Linked DNA regions of Pelodiscus sinensis. The main gene of each other region encodes a partner of the protein of the gene in region 3 in a complex. Links are inferred from orthologs where the notes say so. Each region holds a gene or a part of one and is shown on either strand. Other genes may lie near its edges. The genes, in order: E3 ubiquitin-protein ligase RNF113A-like, SNRNP200, DHX16 and SNRPF.

Evidence for each region.
Region 1: DHX16 (region 3) and E3 ubiquitin-protein ligase RNF113A-like share a complex: the UniProt entries of both Homo sapiens proteins name them as parts of the minor spliceosome. The link is inferred for Pelodiscus sinensis from reciprocal best matches to the Homo sapiens genes DHX16 and RNF113A.
Region 2: DHX16 (region 3) and SNRNP200 share a complex: the UniProt entries of both Homo sapiens proteins name them as parts of the minor spliceosome. The link is inferred for Pelodiscus sinensis from reciprocal best matches to the Homo sapiens genes DHX16 and SNRNP200.
Region 4: DHX16 (region 3) and SNRPF share a complex: the UniProt entries of both Homo sapiens proteins name them as parts of the minor spliceosome. The link is inferred for Pelodiscus sinensis from reciprocal best matches to the Homo sapiens genes DHX16 and SNRPF.

What each region holds. Positions count from the first base shown.
Region 1 is NC_134739.1:6,623,066-6,630,651, forward strand, and holds the start of E3 ubiquitin-protein ligase RNF113A-like, read left to right. Parts: upstream 1-4,584; 5' UTR 4,585-4,747; coding exon 4,748-4,847; intron 4,848-5,941; coding exon 5,942-6,018; intron 6,019-7,357; coding exon 7,358-7,462; intron 7,463-7,586. UniProt on the Homo sapiens protein: Required for pre-mRNA splicing as component of the spliceosome. As a component of the minor spliceosome, involved in the splicing of U12-type introns in pre-mRNAs. E3 ubiquitin-protein ligase that catalyzes the transfer of ubiquitin onto target proteins.
Region 2 is NC_134738.1:241,352-248,801, reverse strand, and holds the start of SNRNP200 (U5 small nuclear ribonucleoprotein 200 kDa helicase), read left to right. Parts: upstream 1-4,445; 5' UTR 4,446-4,558; coding exon 4,559-4,603; intron 4,604-7,340; coding exon 7,341-7,450. UniProt on the Homo sapiens protein: Catalyzes the ATP-dependent unwinding of U4/U6 RNA duplices, an essential step in the assembly of a catalytically active spliceosome. Plays a role in pre-mRNA splicing as a core component of precatalytic, catalytic and postcatalytic spliceosomal complexes.
Region 3 is NC_134742.1:11,515,147-11,522,528, forward strand, and holds the start of DHX16 (pre-mRNA-splicing factor ATP-dependent RNA helicase DHX16), read right to left. Parts: upstream 3,001-7,382; 5' UTR 2,666-3,000; coding exon 2,375-2,665; intron 1,028-2,374; exon of another isoform or gene 932-1,027; coding exon of another isoform or gene 899-931; intron 596-898; coding exon 354-595; intron 234-353; coding exon 71-233; intron 1-70. UniProt on the Homo sapiens protein: Required for pre-mRNA splicing as a component of the spliceosome. Contributes to pre-mRNA splicing after spliceosome formation and prior to the first transesterification reaction.
Region 4 is NC_134711.1:81,493,072-81,500,830, forward strand, and holds the start of SNRPF (small nuclear ribonucleoprotein F), read left to right. Parts: upstream 1-4,749; 5' UTR 4,750-4,880; coding exon 4,881-4,883; intron 4,884-5,015; coding exon 5,016-5,141; intron 5,142-5,931; coding exon 5,932-5,996; intron 5,997-7,759. UniProt on the Homo sapiens protein: Plays a role in pre-mRNA splicing as a core component of the spliceosomal U1, U2, U4 and U5 small nuclear ribonucleoproteins (snRNPs), the building blocks of the spliceosome.

The DNA.
Region 1 (7,586 bases), on a different chromosome or scaffold from region 3:
GGCCCATGAGTGCTACAAACCAGAGCATCTGAGTGCATTGTCTGGCTCTGCAGCTAGTGGGGATGTAATTATAGAACATGGCCCCGCTTGATTATTACAGGAGGATGATAAAAGGAAGAATCAGGGAGCGACAGATGGTCCTGGGCAGCCCATTGTTTGATCAGAAACCTGCTCAATCTCTAAATAGCTCAAGCCTGTAACATCAGTTAGCGGGAACATGCTGCACCTTCTGAACAGTGACAAGGACAGACTCGTATACATTTCGTTACATCAAAACAAGGCCAGGAGGAAAGGATTTAATCTCGTTAAAAGAAGACCGAGGTCAATATTCCGTGGGGAACCCAACATGTTTTTCTAAAGAACCGAGTGTAAATCTATCTGAGAGCAAAATGGAAAAGGATGGTGGGGTTGCTACAGAGACAAGATAGATGAAGCGGTATCTTGTTTTGGTCCAACCTCTGTATTGGTTCAACCTCTTGAAAGAGACAAGCTTTCAAGCTACACAGAACTGTTCTTCAGGTCTGGGAAAGGTACTCAGATATGTCACCGCTAAATACAAGGTGGAACAGATTGTTTGGCATAAGTAGTTAACACATAGGCTATGTCTACACTCGCGGTTTCTTGCGCAAGTAATATGCAAATGAGGCTAAGCGTGGAATATCGCCGAGCCTCATTTGCATACCTAATGAGCCACCGTTTTTTTCAGAAGAGGCTCTTGCACAAGAAGGAGCGTCTACACTGCCCCGTCTTGCGCAAGAAAAACCCTCTTGCGCAATGCTGTTACACCTATTACTTTTCAGGAAGAATGGCGTTGCGCAAGAGGGTTTTTCTTGCGCAAGAAGGGGCAGTGTAGACGCTCCTTCTTGTGCAAGAGCCTCTTCTGAAAAAAACGGTGGCTCATTAGGTATGCAAATGAGGCTCGGCGATATTCCACGCTTAGCCTCATTTGCATATTACTTGTGCAAGAAGCCGCTAGTATAGACATAGCCATATTGTAAGAGACCATGCAAAATTCCTCTCAGTCACATATGCCCCGCAACAGGGGTTATTCCAGAGGATGCCTGCGTAGCTCACGTTAGAATCTAGTCCCCTTTTAGTCCTTAGCAGACATGATCCACATGACATGAGAAAAGCTCAGAAGGGAACTGCTCAGTTATTGCAGTGGTGGTGGTGGGGCTGTATAAGTACCAGAGAGGGAGGGATGAGGTGCTTTGGCTGAACAGAGTGAGAGCTCATGTTTAGAATAGCTGGGGATGCTGTAGACCAGAATGAGATGCATCAGCAGGGGCCTTGGGATTAGAATAGTGATGGAGACTGTAGATAAGGACTATGTGCATGGGCAGAGCTGGGGTGGCACTGGAACGGGAATGCCAGAGGTCATTGTAGATCAGGATTGAGGTGCATTGGCAGAACTTGAGGTGCATTGATACCAAGCTGGGAGCGGTTGCAAGTGCTCTGGAGAATAGGGTCATAATTCAAAATGATTTGGACAAACTGGAGAAATGGTCTGAGGCAAATAGGTTGAAGTTTAATAAGGACAAATGCGAAGTACTGCACTTAGGAAGGAACAATGAGTTTCACACATACAGGATGGGAAGTGACGGTCTAGGAAGGAGTGCTGCAGAAAAGGATCTAGGGTTAATAGTGCACCACAAGCTAAAAATGAGCCAACAGTGTAACACTGTTACAGAAAAAAAGCAAACATGATTCTGGGATTCACTAACAGGAGTGCTGTGAGCAAGACACGAGAAGTTATTCTTTCGCTCTACTCTGCCCTGATTCTGCCTCAGTTGGAGTGTTGTGTCCAATTCTGGGCACCACATTTCAAGAAAGATGTGGAGAAATTGGAGAAGGTCCAGAGAAGAGCAACAAAAATGATGAAAGGGCTAGAAAACATGAGCTATGAGGGAAGACTGAAAGAATCGGGCTTGTTTAGTTTAGAAAAGAGAAGACTGAGAGGATAAGATGCAATGGGCTTAAAATGCAATAAGGGAGGTTTAGGTTGGACATTAGGAAAAACTTCCTGTCAGGATGGTTAAACACTGGAATAGTGTAGGGAGGCTGTGGAGTCTCCATCACTAGAGATATTTAACAGCAGATTGGATAGTAATCTGTCAGGGATGATCTAGACCAGGGGTGGACAAAAGCCTCTTAGCAGGTGGGATCTGGCCCTCCTAGGGCTTTGATCGGGCTTGCAAGGCAGTTCCAGGCCCCACCCCCGAGTGCAGGGGTCGGCAACCTACGGCATGTGGGCAACTTATGGCAAGCAAATCAATTTTCAGCAGCACGTGGGAGGAAGCTCAGCCCTGCCCTTCCTCCCCCATGAAGCTGCTGGAGAGCGCTCCCTCCTCCCTGCAGTGTGGATGAAAATGAAGCTTTTTCGGGAAAACGGCCGTTTTTCTGAAAAAAACTCTGTAGTGTAGACATACCCTCAGGTGCAGCCACATCAGTGAGCGCTGGAGATTTTTGGAGGAGTTTTTTTGCTTCTCACTTGTGTGGTCCCCAAGTGATTTTTCTGTGGGTCAGTGCTGGGTGGCTACCAGGCAACAGGTTAGCAGCAGGGCCAGGAGCTGCCAGCCATGTTATGTGAATTCTAAGCCTCCACCCCAGACAACTCTGGGAGGAGGCTAGCCTCCAGCACCCTCCATTGGCCAGAAGTCAGGAGGTCGGGACCCGAGGCCAAGCAAAGCTCTCCACAGGGTAGTCGTCAATCCCACTCCTTCCGCCCAATGCCCCACCCCTTCTGGGTCAGCCCGCGGCCACTTCTGAAATTTGTGAAGTGGCCCCCTTCAAAAATTATTGCCCACTCCTAATCTAGACGGTGCTTGGTCCTGCCATGAGGGAAGGGGAGTGGACTTGATGACCTCTCGAGGTCCCTTCCAGTTCTAGTACTCTGACTCTATAACTGTATTTGTCTGACCATACAGTCTGAAGAGAGTGTTCCCAGTCTTTCCTGTACTGGGCACTAACACACTTGAAAACTGGGCATCACCTCTAGAAATGAGACACTGCCTGTAGGTGGCTTCTGCTACCCACAGGGAGGCTGGTACGATTTGGAGATGCATCCACTCTGAGCGGAACATGCCAAATCATTTCACACCAGCCACTAAAGAAGAGAAAGACTTTTGGTTATTTCTTAGGTGACCAGAGAGCAAATGTGAAAAATTGGGATGCAGGGGAGTAATGGAAGGGGGGGTAATATGGTCCTTTTTAAGACAAAGCCCCTAATTTCAGAATGGTCTTGATAATATCATGATGTCTGGTCACCCTAGTTACTCCTGACCCTGACACAAAGGGAACTATATAACTCATCCCACTCCCAATCCTTTGAGCCATCCAGGATCACCAATAAATCCCCCACCAAATACACTGAATCCTCTTTACTGGAGGATAATGGTGATACCCCATGCTGCCAACCACACTCTTTGCTTGGCTAGTTCAAAGTTGGGAGCCAAATGATTTGCATTGGGGACGCTTTCTGCTCACAGGAAGCAAAGCAAGGTTGCAAGAAGATGAGACACAGGTGCGAGGAGGAATTAACCTTTCAGGTGCCATAAGCTTGGGGATACACATGCTTCCTAAGCATTTTGTTGGCAGGCTGGAAAAGAGCAGTGTTCTTGGTATTCAGAAACAGCTGCTACTGACTCAGAGTAGCTTATAATAATCTTTTCTATTAGCTCCTTTCAGACATAGGGATTGCAAAGAGCTTTACCATGGGAACGCAGGCACCTCTAGGCTGGGGTGTGGGAGGCGTTTAACAGGGCACAGTAGTCTGGGAAGAGACCTGCTGTACTGTAACAGCCAAAGGTGGAGTTTGGCCAGGAAAGAAAGGCTAATGCCCAATACTACCTAGGAGTGCGTGGGGCTCCGCAGTGTTCGGCTTTCCCCCGTTCAGAAGGGAGCACCCAGCAGGCCAGGGTGCTTGCACCAGCCTCTCACCTGCAGGGCAGGGAAGCATTTCCCAGCCTGGGCCCTCGGGCTAGTCTCATTAATGCCCCCAGGAGCCACAGCACAACTGCCTGAAGCAGAGCAGCCCAGGGGGGGCGGCATCAGACCCTCTCCTAGCTGGGAGGGGTAGCTGCTCTCTCTGGGCAGCCCCTGAAAAGGGAAAGCTCCCTTCTGAGGCCCCTGTTTCCCTCTCCCCTCCTGGGGCGCTCCTGCCCCTCCCCTTCCTGGGGCCCCCTGCTTCCCCCTCCCCTCCTGGGGCGCTCCTCCCCCTCCCCCTCCCCTCCTGGGGCGCTCCTGCCCCTCCCCTTCCTGGGGCCCCCTGCTTCCCCCTCCCCTCCTGGGGCGCTCCTACCCCTCCCCCTCCCCTCCTGGGGCACTCCTACCCCTCCCCCTCCCATCCTGGGGCACTCCTACCCCTCCCCCTCCCATCCTGGGGCACTCCTACCCCTCCCCCTCCCATCCTGGGGCCCCTGCTTCCCCCACCCATCCTGGGGCGCTCCTACCCCTCCCCCTCCCCTCCTGGGGCGCTCCTGCCCCCCCCCCCCCATCCTGGGGCCCCTGCTTCCTCCTCCCCTCCTGGGCGCTCCTGCCCCTCCCCCCGTGCTGGGGGCCCTGCTCCGCTCCTCTCCCAGACACAGCAAGCGGAGCCAGAGGCTGCGGTTCCCCCTCCCCGCCGCCAGGGGGCCCAGCGCGGCGCTGCTGCCGGCTGCTTCCTTTCCGCTCCAGCCCGGCCCGTCTCGTTGGCGCCGGTGGGTCCTTCTCTCCGCTCCTTGCCGGCCCCTCTCGTTGGCGGCGGAAGATGGCGGAAGAAAGCCCCGTCTGCAGCTTCCTGTTCAAGAAGCGGGGCCCGGCCGCCGGTAGGGGGCGACGCAAGCGGCCGGGCAGCGACCAGGAGCAGGGTGAGGCTGGGGGGTCGCTCCCCTGCCGCGGACCGTGCCATTATCGCGGGGAGGGGTGGTGGTGAACGATGCGTTTCGGGCTATGCCATTTGTACTCGGGGGGGGGGAGGGTTTCTAGGTTTGTCTCATTATCACTGGAGACGGTTTCTGGATTGATCCATTATCAGTAGGAAAGGGGGGAGATTCCGGGGTAGGCTGCCCCACTGTCACTGGGGAAAGGGGGGTTCTGGGCTGCCCTAAAGTGTGTGTGTGGGGGGGGGAGGGGTGTTGGGCTGTCCCACTGTTACTGGGGAAAGGGGGGTTCTGGGCTGCTCTAAAGTGTGTGTGGGGGGGAGGGGTGTTGGGCTGTCCCACTGTTACTGGAGAAAGGGGGGTTCTGGGCTGCTCTAAAGAGTGGGGGGAGGGGTGTTGGGCTGTCCCACTGTTACTGGGGAAAGGGGGGTTCTGGGCTGCTCTAAAGTGTGTGTGGGGGGGAGGGGTGTTGGGCTGTCCCACTGTTACTGGAGAAAGGGGGGTTCTGGGCTGCTCTAAAGTGTGGGGGGGGAGGGGTGTTGGGCTGTCCCACTGTTACTGGAGAAAGGGGGGTTCTGGGCTGCTCTAAAGTGTGGGGGGGGAGGGGTGTTGGGCTGTCCCACTGTTACTGGAGAAAGGGGGGTTCTGGGCTGCCCTGAAGTGTAGGGGAAGTTGGGCTGTCCCACTATTACTGGGGAAGGGGTTGAGGGTTTCTGGGTTGCCCTAATGGCATGGGAGAGGCAAGGCGTCTGGACAGTGCCACTGTCCTGGTGGGTGGGGGAGCCCTGACATCCTGGAGAGGCCTGGGGGCGCCCTCCCCACTCACCCCTCCCCCTTGGTTGCTCCTGCCCCATGGGACTCTTGAACTGATGGTGCCTTTTTCCCTTGGAGGGGCCGGGGGCCCCCCAAGGGCTGGTGCCCAGCCTCTTGCGCAGGCTGAGTGGCCCCCAAAAGCCCCGTGCTCAGGCCCTGGCATGTGGGGGTGCCCCTTGGGGTGAAGGGACATGGGGCCAGGGCCTGACCCAGCCCAGCTGCTCCTGCCCCTCAGGGCCCTTGAACTGATGGCGTCTTGTCCTCCGCAGGGAGTAGCAGCGATGAGGGGAGCACGGTGGTCAGGAAGGAGAGGCGGCGGGACACCCACAACCCCATGATCCAGAAGGTGACCAAGCCCATCACAGAGATGCCCAGCTCCATGCCTTGTCCAGTTACTGCATCCCACCCTGTGTGGGACCAAACTCCTGGTCAAGTGGGGGTGGGATGGGTCCCACATTCGGCCCCTGGAAATCCCTGGGGGGGGGTGCCAACACCATGAAACTGCTCAGCAGCTGGTTTGCCAGCACCCTCCCTCAGCTGTTGCAGTGTCATACACCCAGCCTATGGATCCAGCCAGTTATACATTTTATTTGGGCTCATGACAGATTCAGACTATACAGAATTCAGGTTCTCACCTAACAGCCCCCCTGCCTCCAAAAACAAAAGAAAACCCATCCCTCTGTTTTGAGCCCATTTGATTATGGGAAAATTCTTTCAAATGTGCAGACAGTAATTGATGCAGAAGTGACTTCTGGGGTATGCAATGCCCCACGGTCAGAGAGGTGAACTTTCCTCTCAAGGGGGTAATTTATGTTTCAAAGCCTAATGAGGATATACAAAGGACTAGATTTTACTAATCTGTGAGCATAAATGCACAGGTTGGGTAAATGCATATGAAAATGGCCAGCATAGGGCAGTAAGTGGAAGATCTAAAAGATCTAAAAGTATCCTGTGTGACTTTTACCCAGTGTGATGCAGTATGCCACAATAACTTCAGTTAACTTCAGTAACTGAAAATCTAGGCTACTGCTTTGCTGGTATAACTATACTGGTGTATTATGTCAGCAAAGGGGTTCTAGTGTGGATGCAGTTTCTATTGATTTTACCAGTATATCTTATTTCATCCCCCACCCCAAGAAAGAGTAATATCAGCATCAGTGAAGTTTTGCCTGTATAGTAGTATCTGCTGGCACTGCTAGGAGGGGTCAGGGATCACACCCTGGCATGACAGAAGCATACTGGCAGAATTCTAAAGCTATGGCTATCCCCTGAAGCAGTTAAGCTGTGTAAGGATTCTATGGCTTGTTTGATTTTTCTCAGACCTCCTATTGTTATCCAGTGGAGATGCACGGCAGATTGAGGGAAACGAAAAGTTCTGGCATTGTAGGCTCACAGATCCAAATTAAACCTATAACTTGGCTCTCTTAATGCAAGAATTTTACTCTGTGATGCCCCTTGATCTAGGAGAATCAAAGGAGTTTTGCTCTGCCCTCCTTCCAGCCCAGCGGTGGCTGCATTAAACCAATGCTTTGTGGATATGGGCCCTGATTTTGACAATTTTTCACTCCACTGATTTGCTTTCCTGGGCTGCAACACTGTCTCTGGCCAACCAGGAGAACATGTCTGGGTGTTGTGTTGTGTGGATCTTTCTCAGTTCTTCAGATATTTGCCTTTCCATCTTTCAGACCAGGAAAAGTGATAAAGAGAAGACCTCGTATGGGGCAAGCAGCAGTGATGATGAGGGGGAATCGCAAGGAATTGGTGTCGCTTACAAATCAACGAGATCAGCGGTAAGCACAATGCGCCACATGGCTTTAAAAGGGATCAGAAGGGACACTAAGATCACTTACTCTGGTCTCTGTTATGCAGACTATGTCATTGGTTGGTTTTATGATTGGGCGCCATGGTCAGGTT
Region 2 (7,450 bases), on a different chromosome or scaffold from region 3:
GGCAACAGGTCTGACCCAGTACGGCCATTCTTATGTTCTTATCCACTCAGGCTCTGTCTACACTGGACCACTTATTCCGGAAAATCAGCCGCTTTTCCGGAATAAGCTGCGAGCTGTCTACACTGGCCCTTGAATTTCTGGAAAAGCAACGATGCTCTACTGTACAAAATCAGCCGCTATTCCAGAAAAACTATTCTGCTCCCGCTCGGGCATAAGTCCTTATTCTGGAACACTGTTCCGGAAAAGGGCCAGTGTAGACAGCCCAGTAGTCTTTTCCAGAAAAAAGCCCCGATCGCGAAAATGGCCTAAATCTTCAGCCATACCGTGTTGGGCTTTGGGTCTACCCACCCTGGGTCCTGCTCCCCCCATACCTGCCTCAGGTCCTTGGGTGTACCCACCCCATGTCCTGTGTCCTCAGCCATACCTGCCCTTGGCCATACTCACCTCCCCGCACCATCAACTATATCCACCCCAGGCCACAGGCCCTCAGTCATACCTGCCCTGGGTTCTCAGATGTACCCACCACTGGAGCCTGGGTTCTCGGCCATACCTGCCCTGGGTTCTCAGCTATTCCTGCCCCTGTACCTGGGTTCTCAACTGTATCCATCCCAAGTCCTGGGTTCTTGGCCACACTTGCCCTGGTTTCTCACCTGTACCTTTTCCAGGCCCTGGTTTCTCAGCTGTACCCATCCCAGGGCATGGGTGTTGTCCTTAAGAGTACTGCATGAGGGTATGTCTACACTAGAAAGTTAGTTCGAACTAACGGACGTTAGTTCGAACTAACTTTCCTATGCGCTACACTAGCGCTCCGCTAGTTCGAATTTGAATCGAACTAGCGGAGCGCTTAGTTCGAACTAGGTAAACCTCATTTTACGAGGACTAACGCCTAGTTCGAACTAGCTAGTTCGAACTAAGGGCTGTGTAGCCCTTTAGTTCGAACTAGTGGGAGGCTAGCCCTCCCCAGGTTTCCCTGGTGGCCACTCTGGCCAACACCAGGGAAACTCTATGCCCCCCTCCCGGCCCCGGACCCCTTAAAGGGGCACGGGCTGGCTACGGTGCCCGTGCCAGGTGCAAGCCTGCCAGCACCCAGCTAGCAGACCCTGCACCTGGCACGGCACAGAGCCACCCACCCGATGCCCCCCAGCCCACCCCCTCTTGCCGGGACCAGGCTGGCGGCTCCCGGGAGCTTGCCCTGGACCGCAAGAGGCGGGCACCTTCCTGGGCTAGTGCGGACATCGTGGACCTCGTCCACGATCTCCGCACTAGGCACAGGAAAGTGGCCGTCTAGGGCAGGAGAGCTGCCAGCCTGGCCACCCAGGACCAGGTGTGCATGAAAATCAAGGGGGTCCACTGAGACCCCCGACACTGAGCCCTGAGCTTACAATGGCCGTACTGGGTCAGACCAAAGGTCCATCTAGCCCAGTAGCCTGTCTGCCAACAGCGGCCAACCCTAGGGACCCTGGAGGGGATGGACCGAAGACAATGACCAAGCCATTTGTCTCGTGCCATCCCTCTCCAGCCTTCCACAAACTTTGGGCAGGGACACCACTCCTACCCTCTGGCTAATAGGACTCCATGGACCCAACCTCCATGACTTGATCTCACTTCCCTTTAAACTCTGTTCTAGTTGTAGCCTTCACAGCCTCCTGCAGCAAGGAGTTCCACAGGTTAACTATTTGCTTTGTCAACAACAACAACTTTCTCTTACTAGTTTCAAGCCTGCTACCCATTCCTTTCCTTTGGTGTCCTCTAGTCCTTCTTTATGGGAACTCAGGAAGAACTTTTCTGAATGCACCCTCTCCACCCAACCCCTGCTTTTAGAGACCTCTATCCTGTCCCCCCTCCGTCTCCTCTTTTCTAAGCTGAACAGTCCCAGTCTCTGTAGCCTTTCTTCATCTGGGACCTGTTCCCAACCCCTGATCATGTTAGTTGCCCTCCCCTCTCCCAGCCTTTCTCTTCCCCTCTCCCACCTCCTTTTCCCAGTCTCCCCCAGTTTTTTTCAATAAAGACAGAGTCAATGTTGGAAGAAACGTTATCTTTATTTTGTACATCAATAAGAAGGGGGGCTAGGGAAGGGTAAGTGGAAGGAGGTGAGGGAGGTATGGGGTACGAGCCCCCGATGGCGAGGACTGGGCTGGCTCTGCGGGCTTCTGGGGGTGGAAGCTCTCCTGCTGCCCCCCAATTACCCCCTCTCCCCAGATGGCAGCCTGCGGCAAGTGCAGCCGGGGTGATGGCCGAGTGGTGTGATGTGCTCAGTGTGGGCACTCAGGGCACTCCAAGCCAGAACTTCTTTGCAAGCGGGGCACCCCTGAGAACTGTGTGTCCGGGGTGGGGGTCGGGACCCTTTAAGCGCAGCCCTCGGCTAGCCTGAGACAGCATCTCCATGCTCTAAGTCCTCCTTTTATGCCCTGCCGGCACTGCTTCCGGCCAGCCTTAAGCCCTGTTCAGAGTCCACTCAATGTGGACTTACTAGTTCGAACTAGCAAAACGCTAGTTCGAACTAGTTTTTAGTTCTAGATGCGTTAGTTCGAACTAGCTTAGTTCGAATTAACTAATTCGAACTAAGTTAGTTCGAACTAGCGCTGTAGTGTAGACGTACCCTGAGATCTTTTCAGGGCAAAAAGGCAAAACACCATATTTATTGGTAGCACATATATCAATCAACACTTATCATATGCATATGATAACACAAGCACACCCCATCTTCTTGTTGTTACCAATAATTGTTCCCTCTAACTGCACTGGCCAGGTGAGTTAGGTGGGGGAGGGGTAGAGGGCTTCTGCAGATCTGGGTAGGTGCTCCCATGTTGACAAGACAAAAACCCAGGGTCCCTCTGCAAGATGCCTTAGATTTATAGTGTCTTCCCTCTCCTGCAGATCTCCACCAGTTGGTCATCACATGCATATGCATCATCTGTAAGAGTCATCATATGCATATGCAGTTAAGTGATAGAAATGTAGCCGTGTTAGTCTGGGGTAGTTGAAGCAAAATGCAGGACAATGTAGCACTTTAAAGACTAACAAGATGGTTTATTAGATGATGAGCTTTTGTGGGCCAGACCCACTTCCGAAAGCTCATCATCTAATAAACCATCTTGTTAGTCTTTAAAGTGCTACATTGTCCTGCATTTTGCTTCATATGCAGTTAAGACATCTGTGGCACCTTCTTTTGGGTGGTGTCTCAATGCTGCCACATTCTCCTTCAAAGAGGGTGCTTCCAAAAGCTGGCACTTGCTGCTGACTCCCAAAGTGTCCATATGTCCACTCATCTTTCAATGAGCCCACTTCACAGATCCCATTGTTCTTCTCATTGTTCTTGGATCTGGCTTCCACCCCTCTCCAACCTTTGCAAGTGTCCAGAGGTGGTTGTCTTTCATGCCTTATCCATTCACACCTCATTCACTCAATAGGACAATCAATTACGCAAAACGGGGTACAAAGTCTACAAGATACAAGGTTTCTATGTAAAAAGACTTAATACAAAGTTTCTATGTTCTATATGAAAGTATACAAAGTTTCTATATAAAAGGACTTAATGTAACAAAGCTAAAGACGTAATACAATGCTAAAAGAACTTGATACAGAGTCAATTGATAAAAATGTCAATGAGAAAATAATTAATACAGAGATTAATGAGATGTATCTACATGGGTTCTTGGCTGTACCCACCCTAGGTTCCCGACTGTACTTACCCCGGGCTCTGGGTTGGGTTGTACCCACCGCAGGGCCTGGGGTCTTAGGTTATACCTGCCCTGGATTCTCAGTTGTACCTATCCCAGGGTCTGGGTTCTGGGCCGTACCCACCCTGAGTTCTCGACTACACCTGCGCTGGATGCTCATTTGTACCCACCCCAGGATCTGGCTTCTCAGCTGTACCTGCGCTGGGGCCTGGGTTCTGGGCTGTACCTGCGAACCCGGAATGTCCATGGCCCAGCTGTTGCCTGGGGCTACGAGAGGTCAATAAAAGGGCTAAGGGGCATGGGCTCTGTGCCAGCTGAAAGTTACCCCTCCCAGGAGCCAGCACCGCCTCGCCTGCGCCCCGCCACCCGCACTGCGCCCAGCAGGACACCGCTGCGCAGCGCGCTTCCCTGCATCCCCCGCCAGCTTCTTCGCATCCAAACAAAACCGCGAAGAGGAGGAGCCCTGCCCCGCCCAGACCAGACCAATGCTCCGGGGGGCCAGGAGCCCTGGGGCCATGCGCATTGAAACTCTGCCCACCCTGCAAGCGGGAGCTGATCCGCCTCGGGGGCCACGTGGGCGCTTCCTGCCATCTGAGCACGCGCACGCCTGATGGACACAAAGCCCGGCCCGTCGCTAGGCAACGCGGGGCGTGTTCGGGCCAGGGCCAGCTCTTCGGGGGCGGACCCATGACGTAATATCGCATGGCCCCCTGGCCGGGGGTGATGACGTATGGGCGAGAGGGCCTCTTGAGAAGCAACGGCTCGTTCTTCAGCACTTCCGGGGTGTTCCGGAAGTACTTGCTGCCTTGGTTCGGACGTGCGTGCGGTGCTGCGTTTCCGCTTGGTCGCGGCCGGGGCCGGGTAGCTGAGGCGGCGCCATGGCTGATGTGACCGCGCGGAGCCTGCAGTACGAATACAAGGCGGTGAGTGGGGGCGGGGAGAGCAGTCCCCGGAGAGGGGCGCGGGCGCCCGGTTTTGGGGGAGACGACTAGGCTCTGCCGAGCTTTTCTCGGGCGGCCGGTACATTCCTCACTCCGGTTCCCCCTCGGGGGAGGCCTGCCCGCCTGCTCCCTCAGCAGGTCCAGGGGCCTCGCGCTCAATCGGGGAGACTCCCGTGGACAGCAGGTGGGGTAAAGACTTGTCCCAGCCCTGTGGGTGCTGGTGCATAAAGGTCTCTAGCATCTGCTTTAGTGTCCCATTGAGCCTCGCCCCAGCCTGCTGAGGCTGCGTATTTCACACCCCAAACTTCTCCCACCAGCACCAGAGCAGGGCTGACATAAAGTTGAACCTTTGGTCTGCAAGGACCTCCTTGGGAAACCCCACTCTGCTGAAAATGGTTAGCAGTGTGTCTGCCTCAATAGAAGACCGAGCCACTGCCTCAGAGTAGTGAGTAGTGAAATCTTCCCAGTTTGGGTGGCTTTCCTGAAATGTCCCACTATATCCTTAGCCATCTTCTGGAAAGGCTCCTCTTATGATTGGCAGAGGCCTCAAGTTGGCTTTCCCCTTGTCCTGGGCCCTCCCTATCCTGTGGTAAGGGTTGCAGGACTGTTGGATAGCATCAAAGATTCCAGGCCAGTAAAAGTTCTGTAGCAGCCACTGCCTGGTGTGCTGGAGACCCTGGTTTCCCGAGAGTGGGATGTCACAGGTCAGGTACAGTAGCCTTCCAAGGTACTTTTTGGGAATCACCTACTGCTGCTGGACCCCCACCCCCTGCTATGACTCCACTTCCCTTGGGGATGGAATCCATTCCCGGTTCAGGAATCCCTTCAACCACAGGAACCTCTCCTTGCATTCTTCCCCCAGCAGTTGTGCTGCACTGAGGCCAGCCAGGTCCCTCAGCTTCTGTAAGGAGGGATCTTTCTGCAACTCAGCCTTGAGTTTAGCAGCCAGGGAAGGGATGGAGACCTGTTCCCCTTCACAGCCTGGGTCTGACATCACAGCAATGCCAAGCCTGGCTGTTGGGAATTTTCTGCCAGTGTAGGGCCCTGTGCCCCCTTCAGGTTACCCTCACCAGGGCAGAGTGCCTCTTGCTGGCTTTGGCTAAGGGTAGTGACCAGAACACTGTGGGGTCCTTCTTCCAGATCACTCCCCATCAGCACCCCAGTGGGCAAGTGATGGTGCACCTCCACCTCTTTTGGGCCCTTTTAGCCCCCCCATTTCAGGTACTCTTGCTATGGGTACCTTGAATGGGGTCCTGTCTATGCATGTCAAAGTCAGGTGGGCATTGGGCATCATCAAGTCTGGTGCCACCACCTCAGACTGGGCCAGTATTACCATAGCACCCTTGTCCCAGTGCCCCATGATTTATTAGGCAACAGGGACATAGCGTAGAACAGGCTTGTCAGCAGAGCAACCAGAAGCAGTTATTGCAATCTGTCATGTGGGGGGGAGGGCAGAGCCAGGGCCTCCCCCTGCAAGGTTCCCGCTAAGTTTTTCCATTGTTGAGTGAAATAAATGTATGTGCACTGAGAAATGTGCAGATGTGCACCACCAATAGAAACACATGCTGTGGGCACTCTGCTAATCAGCTGGGCAGCATCTGAATCTCTGCTGGGCAGCTGCCCAAGCACTCAGTCTACAGGGAACACTATCCCCCTGCTTCCCTAAAATAGCTGAGATTAATCTACATCCCCAGCAGTCTTGTCCCAGTCCCCAGCTTGGCCTTTTCTCCAGTTTTTGTCCTGCTTCCTGGGCAGCAGGTGCTCTTTCTCCCCCACCCCGCTTAGGTTACAAAGGGCTTCAGCCATTGTGTACATGTAGGCAGCTGGGGTAGCTGCCTTCAGCTATGGGAATTTTGGGTTGTATTTTCACTATCTAGGTATTGATGTAGTGCTGTGAGAAACTGAGGCACACACATGGGATTACCATAGGACAGTAGCATTCACATGCGACATCATAAAGTGAATAAAAGCCCCCAGTTTGTCATACCATTCCTTTCTTTGCATCCCTCACTGGGTTAATTTTCTTTATTATATCCAACATAAGCTACTGGTAAAAAAAATTAAAAAGCAGAGTCCTGCAGCACTTTAGCAACTAACAAAAAATATAGATGGTCTCTAAAGTGCTGCAGGATTATTGTTTTTTACATTTTTTTTTTTCAGTTACAGACTAACATGACTACCTTCTGAAGTGTATAAGCTACTTGTATATGCTTTCTAGGCGTTTGAAGTCATTTCCCTCTCTCCCTCTAATTTGCTCTTGAATAGTTGATTCCTACTTCTGGTTGGCTACTGCTACCATCGACTTCTTAAATTTCCAGGCAAGCATTGCCCTGCTTTCCCTGTACTGACCCTTTTCCTTGTGACACTACTTATAAATATCTGCAAAGCTACCTCATTTCTTTTCAGATCCCTTCTCAAAACTGTTTTTTGCCGTGAGGCCTACAAAAAGCTTGATTGCTAGTGTGCTGAGACCACTATTGATTGTCAATATTAACTCATTGATTCTTTAAGCTGTGCTAGTTGTATCCATGAGGAGTTCCTAGTTTTATACTTGGATTGTAAGCTTTTGGGAGCAGAGATTGTCTTTTGTTTGTATAGCACTTGGCACCACAGGGTCTTGGCTTATGACACTAGGCACCACAGTAATGAGGATAATGTATAGGAATTTGTTTGATTTCTTCACACCTCTTATCTGCTCTTGTGATGTTATCCCTTTCAGAATTCTAATCTTGTACTGCAAGCTGATCGCTCCTTGATCGACAGGACCAGGCGAGATGAGCCTACAGGGGAAGTGCTCTCCTTGGTTGGGAAGCTGGAGGGCACTCGAAT
Region 3 (7,382 bases):
GGCACCAAGGAGGGATCCAGCAGCAAGGATAGGGTTGGGGATGGGTGCTGGTCGCAGGGCAGGCTCTGACCTTCTTGTCCGACCGCTCCAGGATATTCCTGGTCCGCTCCTTGTCCTTGCGCTTGACCCGTTCGGCAAAGGCGTCGCGCTCCTCCAGGTCCTGCAGGCGTTCCCGCTCGCTGCGGTCCCATTCGTCCTCCGAGTCCTTTCCCTCCAGGGCCGGGGCCGGCTCCCTGCATCCGGGGAAGGGCCAGAGACCACAGTCAGGGCACTAGCCAGCCCCGGGGAGCCCCAGCGCAGGGGACTCTCCCTCGCCCCACCCTCTAAGATCCCCCAGCGGAGGCGACACTCACGGCTCCCGCTCTGCCTCGTTCTCCTCCTCTGACGCCTCCTCCTGCTTCCGGCGCAGGTGTTTGCGCCGCTTCTTGTGTTTTCTCCCCTCGGGGCAGTGCTTAGAGCCTGGGGCCCCCCCCGCATCTCTCTCCTCCTCCTCGCTGTCCTCCAGCAGCTGGTACGAGCGGTTCTTCTGCTGCAGGGCGAGGGCCTCCCGCTCGGCCACCCGGGCCGGACGCTCCTGCGGAGCTGAACGTGGGACCTAAGAGCAGGGCAGAGACAGGGGTGGGGTTAGAAATACTGCACAGACAGTGCTCGCTCCCTGCCCCCCCCCTTCTGCTTTCTCCTTTAGCTCCTCCCACTTAGCACACAGGTCCCGCCTCTACAGTTGGCTCCTCCCCCTCCCCAAAGGCTCCTCCCATTCTGCTAAGCTTTCTCCTTCCCATGTAGTTCCTGCCATGGTAACCTCTCCCTAAATCCTCCTCCCCTGCCTCCCCCCCCCAACCTCCACAGGACACTGCTAGGGCTAGCCCTGCCCCATCCCCTATAGGCCTCGCCCGCTAACCTCACAGGACTCCCCCCTTGGCGCCTTCTCCATCCCTACTGCTCCTGCTCCCTTTGTTCACAGGCCCTTCCCTTTCAGCCCCACTCCCTCTCCTGCCCCCCAGCATGTCTCCTCCTCTCCCCAGGCCCTTAGCCCCTTGCCTGACACTCCGCCCTCTGGCCCTACTCAGCCCCTCCAGTGTGACCCCTCCTCATCCCTACTAGCTCCTCCCCCTCCTGTGTGACCCTCCCCACCCCACTGGCCCCTTCCCCTCCAGTGACCCCCCCCAGCCCCACTAGCCCCTCCCCCTCCTATGTGACCCCCCCCGCCCCCTGGCCCCTCCCCCTCCAGTGACCCCTCCCTCCTGTGTGACCCCCCTTCAGCCCCACTAGCCCCTCCCCCTCCTGTGTGACCCCCACTAGCCCCACCCCCTCCTGTGTGACCCCCCTCAGCCCCACTAGCCCCTCCCCCTCCTGTGACCCCCCCTCAGCCCCACTAGCCCCTCCCCCTCCTGTGTGACCCCCCCTTAGCCCCACTAGCCCCTCCCCCTCCTGTGTGACCCCCCTCAGCCCCACTAGCCCCTCCCCCTCCTGTGTGACCCCCACCCCCTCCTGTGTGACCCCCCTCAGCCCCACTAGCCCCTCCCCCTCCTGTGTGACCCCCACTAGCCCCACCCCCTCCTGTGTGACCCCCACTAGCCCCTCCCCCTCCTGTGTGACCCCCACTAGCCCCTCCCCCTCCTGTGTGACCCCCTCAGCCCCACTAGCCCCTCCCCCTCCTGTGTGACCCCCCACTAGCCCCACCCCCTCCTGTGTGACCCCCCCTTAGCCCCACTAGCCCCTCCCCCTCCTGTGTGACCCCCACTAGCCCCACCCCCTCCTGTGTGACCCCCCTTAGCCCCACTAGCCCCTCCCCCTCCTGTGTGACCCCCACTAGCCCCTCCCCCTCCTGTGTGACCCCCCCTCAGCCCCACTAGCCCCTCCCCCTCCTGTGTGACCCCCCCTCAGCCCCACTAGCCCCTCCCCCTCCAGTGTGACCCCCCTTCAGCCCCACTAGCCCCTCCCCCTCCTGTGTGACCCCCACTAGCCCCTCCCCCTCCTGTGTGACCCCCCCTCAGCCCCACTAGCCCCTCCCCCTCCAGTGTGACCCCCCCTCAGCCCCACTAGCCCCTCCCCCTCCTGTGTGACCCCCCCTCAGCCCCACTAGCCCCTCCCCCTCCAGTGTGACCCCCCTTCAGCCCCACTAGCCCCTCCCCCTCCTGTGTGACCCCCACTAGCCCCTCCCCCTCCTGTGTGACCCCCCCTCAGCCCCACTAGCCCCTCCCCCTCCAGTGTGACCCCCCCTCAGCCCCACTAGCCCCTCCCCCTCCTGTGACCCCCCTCCCCCACTAGCCCCTCCCCCTCCAGTGTGACCCCCTCAGCCCAATGGCCCCTCCCCCACTGTGGCCCCGCCCCTCCGTTCTAATGGCCCCGCCCCCCGCGGTGTGGCCCCGCCCACCTGCTCCCAGAGGCGCCGGGCGAAGGCGCGCACGGCCGGCTCGCTCACGCGCAGCGTCTCGGTCTCCTCCAGGCGGCTCAGCAGCTCGTCGGCACTGCGGCTGCGCCGGGCCAGGCCGAGCAGGAACGCGACCACGTGCCGCTCGCTCAGCCCCAGCAGCGCGTGCAGCTCGCCCGACACCCAGCGCTCCAGCGCCGCCATCCTGCCCCCGCTTCGGACCCCCCCGTGGGCCACCGTACCCCGCTTCCGGGCCACGTGACCGCCCGGGCCAACGGCTTCCGCCATCGTCATAGCGCGCCGGCGTAACGCCCTGTACCGTAATGACCGGTCTATGAGCGGCGTCAGACTTCAACAACCCACGCTCGCCCCCGCCTTCGCCCGCTACCGTAATGAACGGAATATCCACCGCGAGCAAAACTCTCTGGTCGTAAGGACAGGGATACGCGCCTCCACTTTTGCGGGCGACTTCTTACCGTAGTGTCTGGAATATGAGCGGCCCCGCCTCCAGCCAGACTTTTTACCGTAATTAAAGCAATAAGCGCCTCTCCAGCTGGCTCTTTACCGTAATGACAGGAATAGGAGTCTCTCCATCTCCAGCCGGCGTTCTTACCGTAATTATAACAATATGAGCCTCCCCTTCTGCAGGCCCCTCTACCGTAATGACAGGAATAGGAGTCTCTCCATCTCCAGCCGGCGTTCTTACCGTAATTATAACAATATGAGCCTCCCCTTCTGCAGGCCCCTCTACCATAATGACAGGAATAGGAGTTCTTACCGTAATTATAACAATATGAGCCTCCCCTTCTGCAGGCCCCTCTACCGTAATGACAGGAATAGGAGTTCTTACCGTAATTATAACAATATGAGCCTCCCCTTCTGCCTCTACCGTAATGACGGGAGTAGGAGTTCTTACCGTAATTATAACAATATGAGCCTCCCCTTCTGCAGGCCCCTCTACCGTAATGACAGGAATAGGAGTTCTTACCGTAATTATAACAATATGAGCCTCCCCTTCTGCAGGCCCCTCTACCGTAATGACAGGAATAGGAGTTCTTACCGTAATTATAACAATATGAGCCTCCCCTTCTGCAGGCCCCTCTACCGTAATGACGGGAGTAGGAGTTTTCCATCTCCAGCCGGGCTTCTTACCATAAATATAGCAATATGAGCCTCTCCATCTCAGCGGACACCTTACCGTAATTGTGAGAAAATTAGTTGCCCCTTCTCCGGCCACATAGCCTACCGTAATTACAGGATTACGAGCCTCCCCTTCTCCAGCTGACTCTGTAATTCTGCACCTTCTCCAAACAGATCCCTTAAGATAGCAATATGAGTCTCTCCTTCTCGGGCCGGGCCCCTTTTACCGTAATTACAGGATTGCTCATCATACAGCCAGACTGGCTTCCATAATGACCATAACATGAGCCTCCCCTCCATCCAACCAGACATGCTACCCTAATGGCATCCCGCCACACACCTATCCATTTACCGTACTTACAGGAGTTCATGCCCCCTCCAGTTTTCACCTCATGCTGTCATTATGGATATACACACACCCCACGCTGGGGTGGGATTTTTACTGTAAGAATATAAGAACGGCCAGGCTGGGTCAGACCAAAGGTCCATCTAGCCCAGTGTCCTGTCTGCCGACAGTGGCTAATGCCAGGTGCCCCAGGGGGGAGTGAACAGAACAGGGAATCGTCAAGTGATCCCTTCTCTGTCACCCATTCCCAGCTTCTGGCAAACAGGCTCAGGACACCACCCCTGCCCATCCTGGCTAATAGCCATTGATGGACCAATTCCCCATGAATCGATCCAGTTCAGTTACCATCCTACCAGCTGCAGGCAGAAGCACAGCCCAGTCCGGCTGATCCTCACAGGAGTTTGGTGGGGAGGCAGCACATGGAGAAGTCAGGTTCTTTACTGTACGTGCAGGTGTAATCCACACATTAGGAATGTGCCATTATCAGCGATCTTGTGTAATGTTGGCCTGCACCGTAATTACTGTAATACAAGCTGCAGAACCAATTCAGGTCTGTACCATAATTAACCATGCATGGGCTCTAACATGGATCTGAACTGCAATTAATAGAGGACAGGATACATCCAGAACGGGCTCTGCACCAGTGTAGTGGTCACTGTGTGGGTCCTCCCTTCCAAGTCAATCCTCTACCATAATTACTAGTGTACAAGCCTCAAATACTATTGGGACCTGTACCATAATGACCCATGCACAAGCTGCCCCCTCAGCTCGGCCCTTCACCATTACTGCTCACGTCTGAGCCACAGCTCCAGTCTGTGCACCCTATAACCTGCACATGAGCAGCTACCATGGTCCTGCTCCTCGTTTTTATTGGTATAGGAGCTGCAGTTGTCCTCATGCTCACTGTCATGATAGCTATCTGGCTGTCCCTTCTCTAACCCCAACTTCCCTTGCACAAGCCAATGTTTTCACACTTAGGAGCTGCTGCCCTAATTTGGTTCCTTTCTGTAACTAGCTGCGTGTCTGCCCATCAGATTTTTACCATAGTTAACTGGGTATGAGTCAGTTTCCGGCCTCTCTCTTTTAGCACCGTTACAAACCTATTCAGCTGCCTCCCCAGTTCACAGGTTCTGTATTTACTAGCATTTGAGTCAACTTCCCGACTACGTTTTTTATCATATTTACAGACAAATCAGCGTCCCATCTGATTGTTTACCTTATTTCCAGGCATGAGTCAACTCTGCTTCTAGACCCATGAGTCACATTTTTCAGTAGGCACATTACCGTATGTCCCAGCAGACAACCTCCGCTGGCTTCCTGCCATATTGACCAGAGTCTGAGTTGCCTTCAAAAGTAGGATCATCATCGTTTTTACAGAGCCAGCTCTTATCTGTATTTCCAGGCATATGAGTTGACTTCCTCCACGTAATGTCATTGTCTCTAGCTTAACGGCATCATGCAGCAAAGCTTCATTCTCATTGTAGTCCTGTCTCAAGCACTGTTCTTCTATGGGGGGGGGGGGGAGCTGCAAAGCAGCGTTCCCTATAAGCTGGGCACTTGGGTGGCCACCCAAGAGCGAGTCAAATGCCGCCCAGAATAGCAGAGTGCCCTCAGCCGGCAGCATGTGTTTCTACTGGTGGTGCACATCTGCACATGCCTTGGTGCATAGAACAAAATTTACTCCGCACAGGGCTGGAAAAAAAATCAAGGGCGCATTGATGCAGAGGCAGCTGAAGGTTGCCTGGACATGTGGGATTTTCTCCTTCTGACACACTAGCAGGGATTTCAGCCTCGGTGGGGCTGCAGCAACGTAGTGCGGAGCTCGGAGGCTGGGGCAACGTGGGCTAGGAGGCAGTGCAGCACCCACGCCACCAGGGGGCAGGAAAGAGCCACGGTCTTCCCCAGTGTGGAGGTCTGAGTGTTGGGGGTGAGCGGGAGAGGCGGGAATGGGGGATCCCGCCTTGTCAATGCCTCACCACTAGGGGGCGGGAGAGAGTGAATGGGGGCTCAGGTGCCTACAGGGCAGAGCTGCAACCCCCAGGGGGCGCACAGGATCTGGCAGGGCAAACCCTCATCTCCAAGGGGTACATGGGAGCCAGGTCCCGGCAGCATCCACCCCTCACCCTCAAGGGGTACATGGGAGCTAGGTCCTGACAGCACCCATCCTCCCCTCCTGTGGCATCTGGGAGCGAGGTCCCGGTAGCACCCCCCCCCCGTTCACAGAATCATAGAACTGGAAGGGACCTCGAGAGGTTATCGAGTCCAGTCCCCCGCCCTCACAGCAGGATCTAGATCACCTCCAAAAGGTATAGGGGCACCAGGTCCTGATGGCTCCCACACCCCTCCCAGACCACGTGGGCCACAGATGATAGGGAGGCGGCTTCACGTGCAACATCTCTCCGTTTTATTATTATTATAACACATATAAAAAAACGCTATTGGAACTGGCCGGCTGCGGCACCCTCCCCCCGCCAGGGCACAGACGCCTCCTGCTGAGAGGGTTAAACAGGAGGGGGGGTTATTGCCCCTGGACGTCTCGCCCCCGTGACCACAGGGCTGCTCTGGGCGGGGGGAGGAGCGTGCCGCATTTGTTCGTTCACTCGCCCCCTCGTTCCTGGGCGAGGACGCGACTGCTTCCCCCAGTGCAAAGGAAAAAAAATAGTCATAACGAGAATGAACTAAACTCACGGAGGAGGGGCTCATTCATCCATCCATCCAGGCCCGCCCCCACTCACTCCGTGCCCTCCCCACACACTGAATTCCCCATTCCCTCCACGCTCACGCTCGTCCCCACACACTCATCCAAGTCCACAGTCACATGGCACAACCTCCTCCCGCCCCCATGAAAGGAGGTGAAATTGCTCCACCTAAAGAGGAAGTGGGATGGCTAAAACAGGAAGTCACCCCTTTGGCCCGCCCTCTGCCTCCATCACTTCGTCGTCCCCCACCTCCAGTCTCCTCCCCAAATCCTGGCTGGCTCTGGCTCCCACCCTCGAACCACATACTGCCCCGTTCCCCCCCAACACAACTAGGCTTGCCTCAAGTATACAAAAATGGCCCCACCTGTAACTAGCTCCAGCCTACTTACAAATGGCCCTCCCACCCCTGCAAAATAGCAATTTGCCCCACCCTCCAAATACTGACTGGCTCCGCCTCCGTCTCAAGTGGCTCCGCCCCAGTCGTAGATTGCCCCGCCTCCAACAGTGATCCTCTCCAGTTATGAGTGGGACTTGTCAAGTAGCAAAGTGATCCCTCCCTTCCCCAATAGACCCCACCCCCACTGTGCTACGCTAACTCCCCTTAACTCTGACCACCCGGGCAGCATTATTAGGAAGTAAAAACTGGGTAGCAAAAGTTCCTCACCTGCACGACATCCCCTAGAAAAAGGGGTCAAGAGTTACAAAAAATTGCATGTGTGTATGGTGGCGGGGTGGTTTTCTTCGCCACCCTCCACTAACAATTAGTCCATCCACACCCATTTTGGGGGGAGGGGATGTGACCTTTAACCTTTGGCTGAAAAGGTAG
Region 4 (7,759 bases), on a different chromosome or scaffold from region 3:
CACTACTACAGTCCTTTGAAATTCCAGCAGCCATAGTACACTCCTGTTGCCCCAGACTGTTGGAAGCAATATATAAGGGCATGTCTACACTTGGTAGTTATTTCAAAATAACTCTCTGTATTTCGAAATAACAAGGAGAATATCCACACTGCTGAGCTTGTTTTTTCGAAATAATGGGCTTGTTATTTCGAAATAGTAACTCCTGCTTGTGAAGAAGAATAAGCTTATTTTGAAATAGTTATTTTGGGAGTTATTATTTTGAAATAACTTAATATGAAATAACCTGATAGTGTGGACCTAGCTTCTAAGGCTAGGTCTACCCTACAGCTTTTTCCGATTTTTTTTTCGGAAGAGGCTTTTCTGAAGTTTGGCCCGTCTACACTGGGCCAAATTTTGGAAAATCCCCCTCTTTCGGAAGATCCCTTCTTCCTCATGGAATGAGGAGGACAGGGCTTCTGAAAGTGCGCGTTTGCACTTCAGCAAAAAAAAAAAGAGAAGAGCAAACGTGTTCCTGGACACAGCAGAGTTTTTCTGGGATAACTTCAGTCTCCTGGAAAACCCCCACAGTGTAGTGGGGTACTTAGAGACCCCTCTGTATTCCAGCCACAAACCATTCTATGCGGCATTCCAGAGGAACTGAGCATAGCTGTGCCAAAGGAGTAGAACTGTTGTACACACACTTCCAATCCCAACTGTTCACCTGTACAGTGATGAAGCTTCTGTCTCACTGTATGTAGAGATGTCTGTGGTCAAAGAGAAAGATATGTGATTTAGCTCAGTAATAATTAAATCAGGATTAGTTGTAGTATTTCTTTGAACAGTATGGAGACAGAATGAATTTGCCAATGATTTGAGGGGATATGATGCATAGGGGAATGGACGCTACTTGGAACTATAATTGTTTTCTGAATATACTCATTTTGCACACAAAAAGCTGAATATATTGAATATTAAGTGGAAGAAAATCATACTTACTGTGTACAGTAGCCTCAGTCTCAAAATAACTTATTTATATATTGGGGGAAGTACTTGTCTGATCAAATCCCGCTATGAGACTGCTGTGCTAACACATGGATTACTTAAATGTTACAAACTCAATATTCATTAGGGATGAAAGGAGTTAGGAGTTATAACTGCAGCAATACAGGCAGTCCCTGGGTTACGTACAAGATAGGGACTATAGGTTTGTTCTTAAGTTGAATTTGTATGTAAGTCGGAACTGGCTCCAGATTCAGCTGCTGCCACTGAAACTGACCAGGGGCTGACTACAGGAAGCCGGAGGCAGAGTTGCTCTGCCCCCAGCTTCCTGGAATCAGCCTGATCAGTTTCAACAGCTGCTGAATCTGGAGCCTGGAACAGAACAGCTGGGGCGCCGCCCGGTAGGTTCCCACAGGACCAACCCGGCAGCACCCCAGCTGCTCTACCCGAGGCGTCCCGCAACAAAAGCCTGGTCTGCTGGGGGGGGGGGGCACACTAGCTGCGCCCCCTCCCCCCCCAGCAGACCAGGGAGACCCGAGCAAAGCCGCACAGGCGGAGGGACCCAGGCGGCGGCTTTGCTCAGGTGTCCCTGGTCTGCTGGGGGGATCCAGCGGCTTTGCTGGACCCCCCCCAGCAGACCAGGGGGACAGAAGCAAAGCCGCCCAGGCAGCGGGGGTCCCGCCGCCTGGGCGGCTTTGCGCCCGGGCAAACAAGCAAAGCCGCCCAGGCAGCGGCTTTGCTTGGGTGTCCCTGGTCTGCTGGGGGGGTCCAGCGGCTTTGCTGGACCCCCCCCCAGCAGACCAGGGAGACCGGGAGAAGCTTTTCTCACCCCGGAGGACACGGGTGGCGACTCGCCGCCCGTGAGCTCCGGGGCGAGAAAAGCCCCATTCGTAAGTGCGGATCCGACATAAGTCGGATCCGCGTAAGTCGGGGACTGCCTGTATACCTAAAGTTCATTAAGTGTAACCAAGTTAGGAAAGGCATTCTATGAATTCTATTGCCAAGAGAAGTAGTAGTAGTTCTACTGTCTGAGAATTAAAACTTTACTGCAGCTTCTAATCATGCACCAGCACGGACACAGATTAGATGGCTTTTTCCCCAGTTTTAGTTTTTATAATGGTATGCTCATATTAATTAAAACATCCTGCCCTATCAATTACTCTGTTATACAGAAATCCAGGCCACTGTGCTTTGCTGGCTTTATATGAAGAATATAAAAGAGTTTTGTACCAGAAGGCTACCCCGTACATCTCCAGACAGTCCTTGTGCAAGATAAGCAATGCCACCTTGTGGATAAATATATACACTCACACTACATTCACTTCTAGGGGTATGTCTACACTGCAATGCTATTTGGGGGAAATAGCTATCCCCGGGTCTTTTGAATGTGTCCGCTATTGCGAAATATAGCAGACATACTATTTCAGCATCCCTGTAAACCTGTTTGCATGAGAGATAAGGAATGTCTTGAAATAGTGTTTTATTTAGAAATTTGGCACCTGTAGATGTGCCAAATTTTGAAATAGCCTATTTTGAAAAAAAGACTAAATAAGAATCTAAATACGATACGCAAATTGCGTAGCGCAAATTGCATTGCACAAATTGCACATCTTATTTTGAGCTAAGGGTGTAGACGCATCCTAGGATGAGGCTGAATCTGGTTTGCAGATTTGTAACCCTGTGAGTTCCCAGGTTATTACAGACAAGGAGAGTGGGGGGTGGAGGAATATCTTTTAATGTCTGGATCAGTTTCAGTGGACGAATTTCATGTCATCCAGAAATATAAAAAATGAAGTTCTAAGTTGGGGGCAATGACCACTTTACCCCCAATCCTGCAATGACCTTTCATTAAAAAAAATAATTTTTTTTTGCTCAAATGTAACAGGCTCATTCTCAGCTCAGTAATGAATTTATTATTTATTTGGAAATATTTGTAGGCAAAATAGTTCAGTAGTTTTCAAAACCAAAAAGAACAAAATAAATTTAGTACTGTTTGGGAGGCACTTGCCTGCTCTGGCCAGAACTGGAAAAATAATGGGGCATGAAAAAGTCTATGAATAAATCATCAAAGTCACAGGACTGCGTGGAGCAGCTCTGTGCACTGGGTCAGGATGACACTAGGGCTATGTCTACACTGGTGGGTTCTTGCGTAAGAAATATGCAAATGAGGCTAAGCATGGAATATCGCTGAGCCTCATTTGCATACCTAATGAGCCGCCTTTTTTGCGGAAGAGGCTCTTGCGCCAGAAGGAGCTGTCTACACTGCCCCTTCTTGCGCAAGAAAAACCCTCACTCCATCCCTAGCAGCATGGATGCAGCCAGGTGAATGCATTACAGAGGATGACTTCTGAGGTGTCATTAGGCTGCAGTAATGGGGGTCACTGTAAGTACATTAAAGCAGTGGTTCCCAACCACCAGTCCGTGGACCAGTGCCAGGCCATGAACCGTTGGCTGCCAGGCTGTGGCACACTGCCAGGCCATCCCCATGCCTTGACAGGCAGGGGCTACCTGGGGAGAAGAGAACAGGAGGCTGGCTTGCAATACCTCGCCTGCCCCACAGAGCATTAGCTGCCATGGCTCTGCCCCCGCAGCCGAGTGTTTACTTCAGCTCCTCTCCTCTAGTATGGAGCAGCGGCATGGCCAGGGTGGGACGGACCAAACTGTTGCTGGGGAAGCTGCGGAGGGATGGTCAGAGGGCCTTGGCTACTGACAGAGGCTCGCTGTGGGGATGTGAGACCTTCCCACCTGTCCCATGTGCGTCCCCTGGTCCTAGAGGCAGGTGGGAGCATCCTGGCTTCTCATGCTGCAGCAGCTTCTACCTTCTCCAGGGGTCCCAGGTAGGCTGCAGTTGCTCTGCCCAGTTCACATGTGGGACATGGAGACTGGGGGGGGGGGGCCTATGTGACTCCCTCTTTCTAGAGGTGGGGACTAGTTCAGTGTGGTGGGGATAGGAGAGAGTTTAGGGTGTCTAACTTCTTTCCCTCTGGGCAGCAGGCAAAACAAAAGGCCTACCTCATGACATTTGCATGTCCAAAAGTTTCAGAGGGGCAGCCAAGTTACACTGTAATAGAAAAAAACTTAAAAAACAACAAATAGTCCTGCAGCACTTTAGAGACTAACAAAAAGTGTAAGTGGTATCATGAGATTTCCTGGGCATAATTACATTTCAAAGAAAGTTTACATAGGTGTTAATCACTCAAGATAAGAAAGGATTCTTTTAGAGAATTTTTAGTGTTGTAGATAACTGCAAACTCTGATCTCTTCCAATGACGTGTATTGTGTGCATGCTTATGCGATGTAAAATAACACATGACCTCTTAAATTAATTAGCATAATAAATATGCAAATAGGCCAATAAAATATTACCAACCCACCAAAAGTTTGTGAACAGGTTTGTGGGTCCGCAGCATTAAAAAGATTGGGAACCACTACACCGGCCCCTGACTCTGCAATGGGCGCCACGTGCTTGGCTCCTCCCTGGGCCCTAGAAGACACTCTGGCTCCCTCCTCTGCTCCCCCATCATAAAGTCCCTAAAAAAGCGCAAATCGAACTCCAGCCCGCGCACACAGAGGATTACGGTAGGGAAAACCAGCTGCTACAAGAAGCCCCTATGCAAGGGAAGGGGCGTGGCCTTCTAGCTCCGCGAGGGTTGCGTCACTAGCCACGCCCCGTCGTTCGGTCTAGCCACTCAGCACCCGACTTTTCCGTTCGCGCGCTAGCCCCCGGGCCCAACGGGATTCAGGCTTTCGTGGGCGGGCAAAAGGCGGGAGGTCAGCGCGCACTCCCGGAAGCGAAGGAGCGGACGTCACTTCCTGGCTTTCTCTCGGACTCCGGCGGGCGCACGTGCGGCCCAGCGAGTAATTTTTGTTTTCAGCGCTGCCTTGTGCCAGGCCGCGTTGCCATGGTGAGGGGGGCCGCGCCGCGAGGCGGGTGGGATTGCCGGGGGGGGGGGCGCCCTGGGGTGGGTGAGGGGCGGCAGGTGCCGGGGGAGCCCTGGCCGCGCTCGCGCTGACCCCGCTGTTGTGGTGACTCGCAGAGCTTGCCCCTGAACCCCAAGCCCTTCCTGAACGGGCTGACGGGGAAGCCGGTGATGGTGAAGCTGAAGTGGGGGATGGAGTACAAGGGCTACCTGGTGTCCGTCGATGGCTACATGAACATGCAGGTCAGTTGGAGCCGGGACGCGCCCCCCCTCCCCCGTTGGCCCCAAGGGCTCCGGGAGACCCGCCCCCTCGCGCAGCCTGGGCTTGCGGAAGGAGTTCGGGGGGAGACGGGGGCGGCTCAAACGTGGGCGTGTGGGGTTGCCAGCTCTCCCGGACCGGATGCCATTGCCGCAAATGGTGTCCGGTCCTACCTTTCGGGAGAGTTGGCAACTCCGTTCCGTGGGGAGTCGGGGGGTGCCTATGACAAGGTTGTTCAAAAGGGGACACGGGGTCCCCTTTGCGGCGTGAGGGTTGTTCAGGGGCCTCATAGCGGGGTCGAGGGCATCAGAGGTGAGTGACTTGCCTGCTATCAAAGAAGACCTGGCAGAAGTAGACCCAGATCTTACTGCTTCTGCACTGCCTAGTTCTATGTGGAGCCACCTACACCCTTGCTCCTGCAGTGCTCTGTGCAGGGCAGCAGCATCTCCAACATGAAGGTATGATTGGCTTGAGAACTGATGAAAAGGATTTACACAAAGTTTGGTTTGTAGACTAGTTCTAAAGCAACAGACCATATTTTGCTATATATGGCACACTCTTCTGGTCAGATTCTTCAATGAAAAGTGAAATATAATGAGCTACATGCATAATAAAAACAAAGAGTTCTAATGAGGTACAAGTTACTATTAAACAGACCCAGTTTCCCAAAGGGCCCAGTAGTCCTTGTAGAATGTCTTTAGCCTGACAATAGTTTATTGATTGCTGGCTGAGAATTTTCTTCAAACAATTGTGCTAATGTTTTGTTCCTTAAAGCTTGCAAACACAGAAGAATACATAGATGGTGCATTGTCTGGACACCTTGGTGAAGTTTTGATAAGGTAATTATCAAAATAGATTATTTAGTAAGTTATGTAGTGGATGTATTACATTTGTAGATGGACAGAACTCTTCAATTCCTTAATAGTCAGCCTAAAACAGTCTGAAAATTTGCAATATTAAATACTTTAGTTGCAGTTTCTAATTCTGTGCTAAGCAATTTCTGGCAGATCATAATAAAAATCATACTGGTTGCACCTCCCAAAACTGGAATTCTCTGGTCCAGCCAGACCATGGAAGTTCCTTCATCAGAGAACTCTGGTAGCCTAGTGGCAGGAGGGTAATCCAGGAGGAGCAGGGCTGAAGCAATGGGATGGGGCAGAGGTTAGGGCTGGCAGCAGCCCACAGCAGTGGAGCTGGAGCCAGCAGTTTCTGATAGCCTGTGGCACTGGGATTGGTCAGGGTAGCACCTGGCAGCGCAAGACTGGGACAGCAGCAGGCAGTCTGGCCGGGGCAGCAGGGCCAGCAACCCAGCAGGCAGCCCTGTCGGGCTGGAGGTAGTCCTCCATACCCGTTCCCCCCCCCCCCCACCCCCCCCTAAATCCCCAGCTGGCAGAGTCGGCGGCTGGGGGCTATGGTAGGAAACTTTTCTAGTCTGGCAACCTCCCTAGTTCAGGATTGGTTAGGTCCCAAATGTGCTAGATAAGAGATGTTCAACCTGTATTATCAGGGGAGGGAAGAACCAACTACAATACCCATTTCATAATTTCTCCTTTTTGTAACTTCTTTCATATACATAAATAAGATCCCAGATAACCAATGAATCTTTTGTCAATAGTTGAGAAAAATCTTACCAATAATATCAAGAAGTTAATTAGGCACTGAATAGTTTCACAGAAATGATGGGTCTCTAAATGAGGAGAGGTAGCAGAGACTCCAGTGAGTGTATGTGTCTGAGGAGGTAGAGTGGATTTTCAAAAGAGTATCAACAAATTTTTGCATATATATTAAGGTCCAGCTCCTGCAACTTTATGTGCTTGAATAGGGATGTTAGTGAGTAATTTGAATAGTTGTATAACTACATCAAATTCCAGTGGTTGCATGACTATTTGATAGTCCCCAGGGACTATTAGAGGCAGCAGCACTTGGTGGCAGCAGTCAGTGTTCCCTCTAAGCACAGCTTCATAGGTGATTAATAAGCTCTACCCAGGCTCAGGGAGCTGACTGAATGGGTGGGGATGATTAATCACCTGTAAAGATATGCTGCAGAGCAGATTAGAGGGAACACTGACAGCAGCCCCTGTCTGCAGGGGGGCTGAGCTCTCTTTGTTCACAGAGAGCTTGGACCTCCCGCAGATAGGGGCCACTGCTGCAGAGCAGCCTCCATTTGCAGTGAGCCTAGGTCCACTGTGGAGAGGCTGCTTTGTGGTAGCTTCTTCTGTGACACCCGCTCCTCCAGGTGGCTGAGCAGGTGACTCCACAGAGCGCTGTAGGAGGCAGCAAGAGTGGGAAGAGGCAGATGGGTCTGTGGATAGCCAGCCTAACAGCCTGCTCCCCATGCATACTGGCTCCCCTCTGCCCCCTCACCCTCTGTGCAAGGCAGCAGTGTGGGGGTGGGAGGGAGGAGGCGGATCCAGTGCTCATGAGGTGCCTGCTTAAAGCCAGCTCCCGTTCTCCCCCCCCCCCCATATTCCACTGTCTCTAAAGTGGGGGGAATACATGTAGTCAAAAGGATTAACTAATAAGCCCAGGCTTATTACTTAATCATATAGTCATCTGCTCATCGACATCCCTATGCTTGAAGTTAAGCATGGGCATCTGTTTA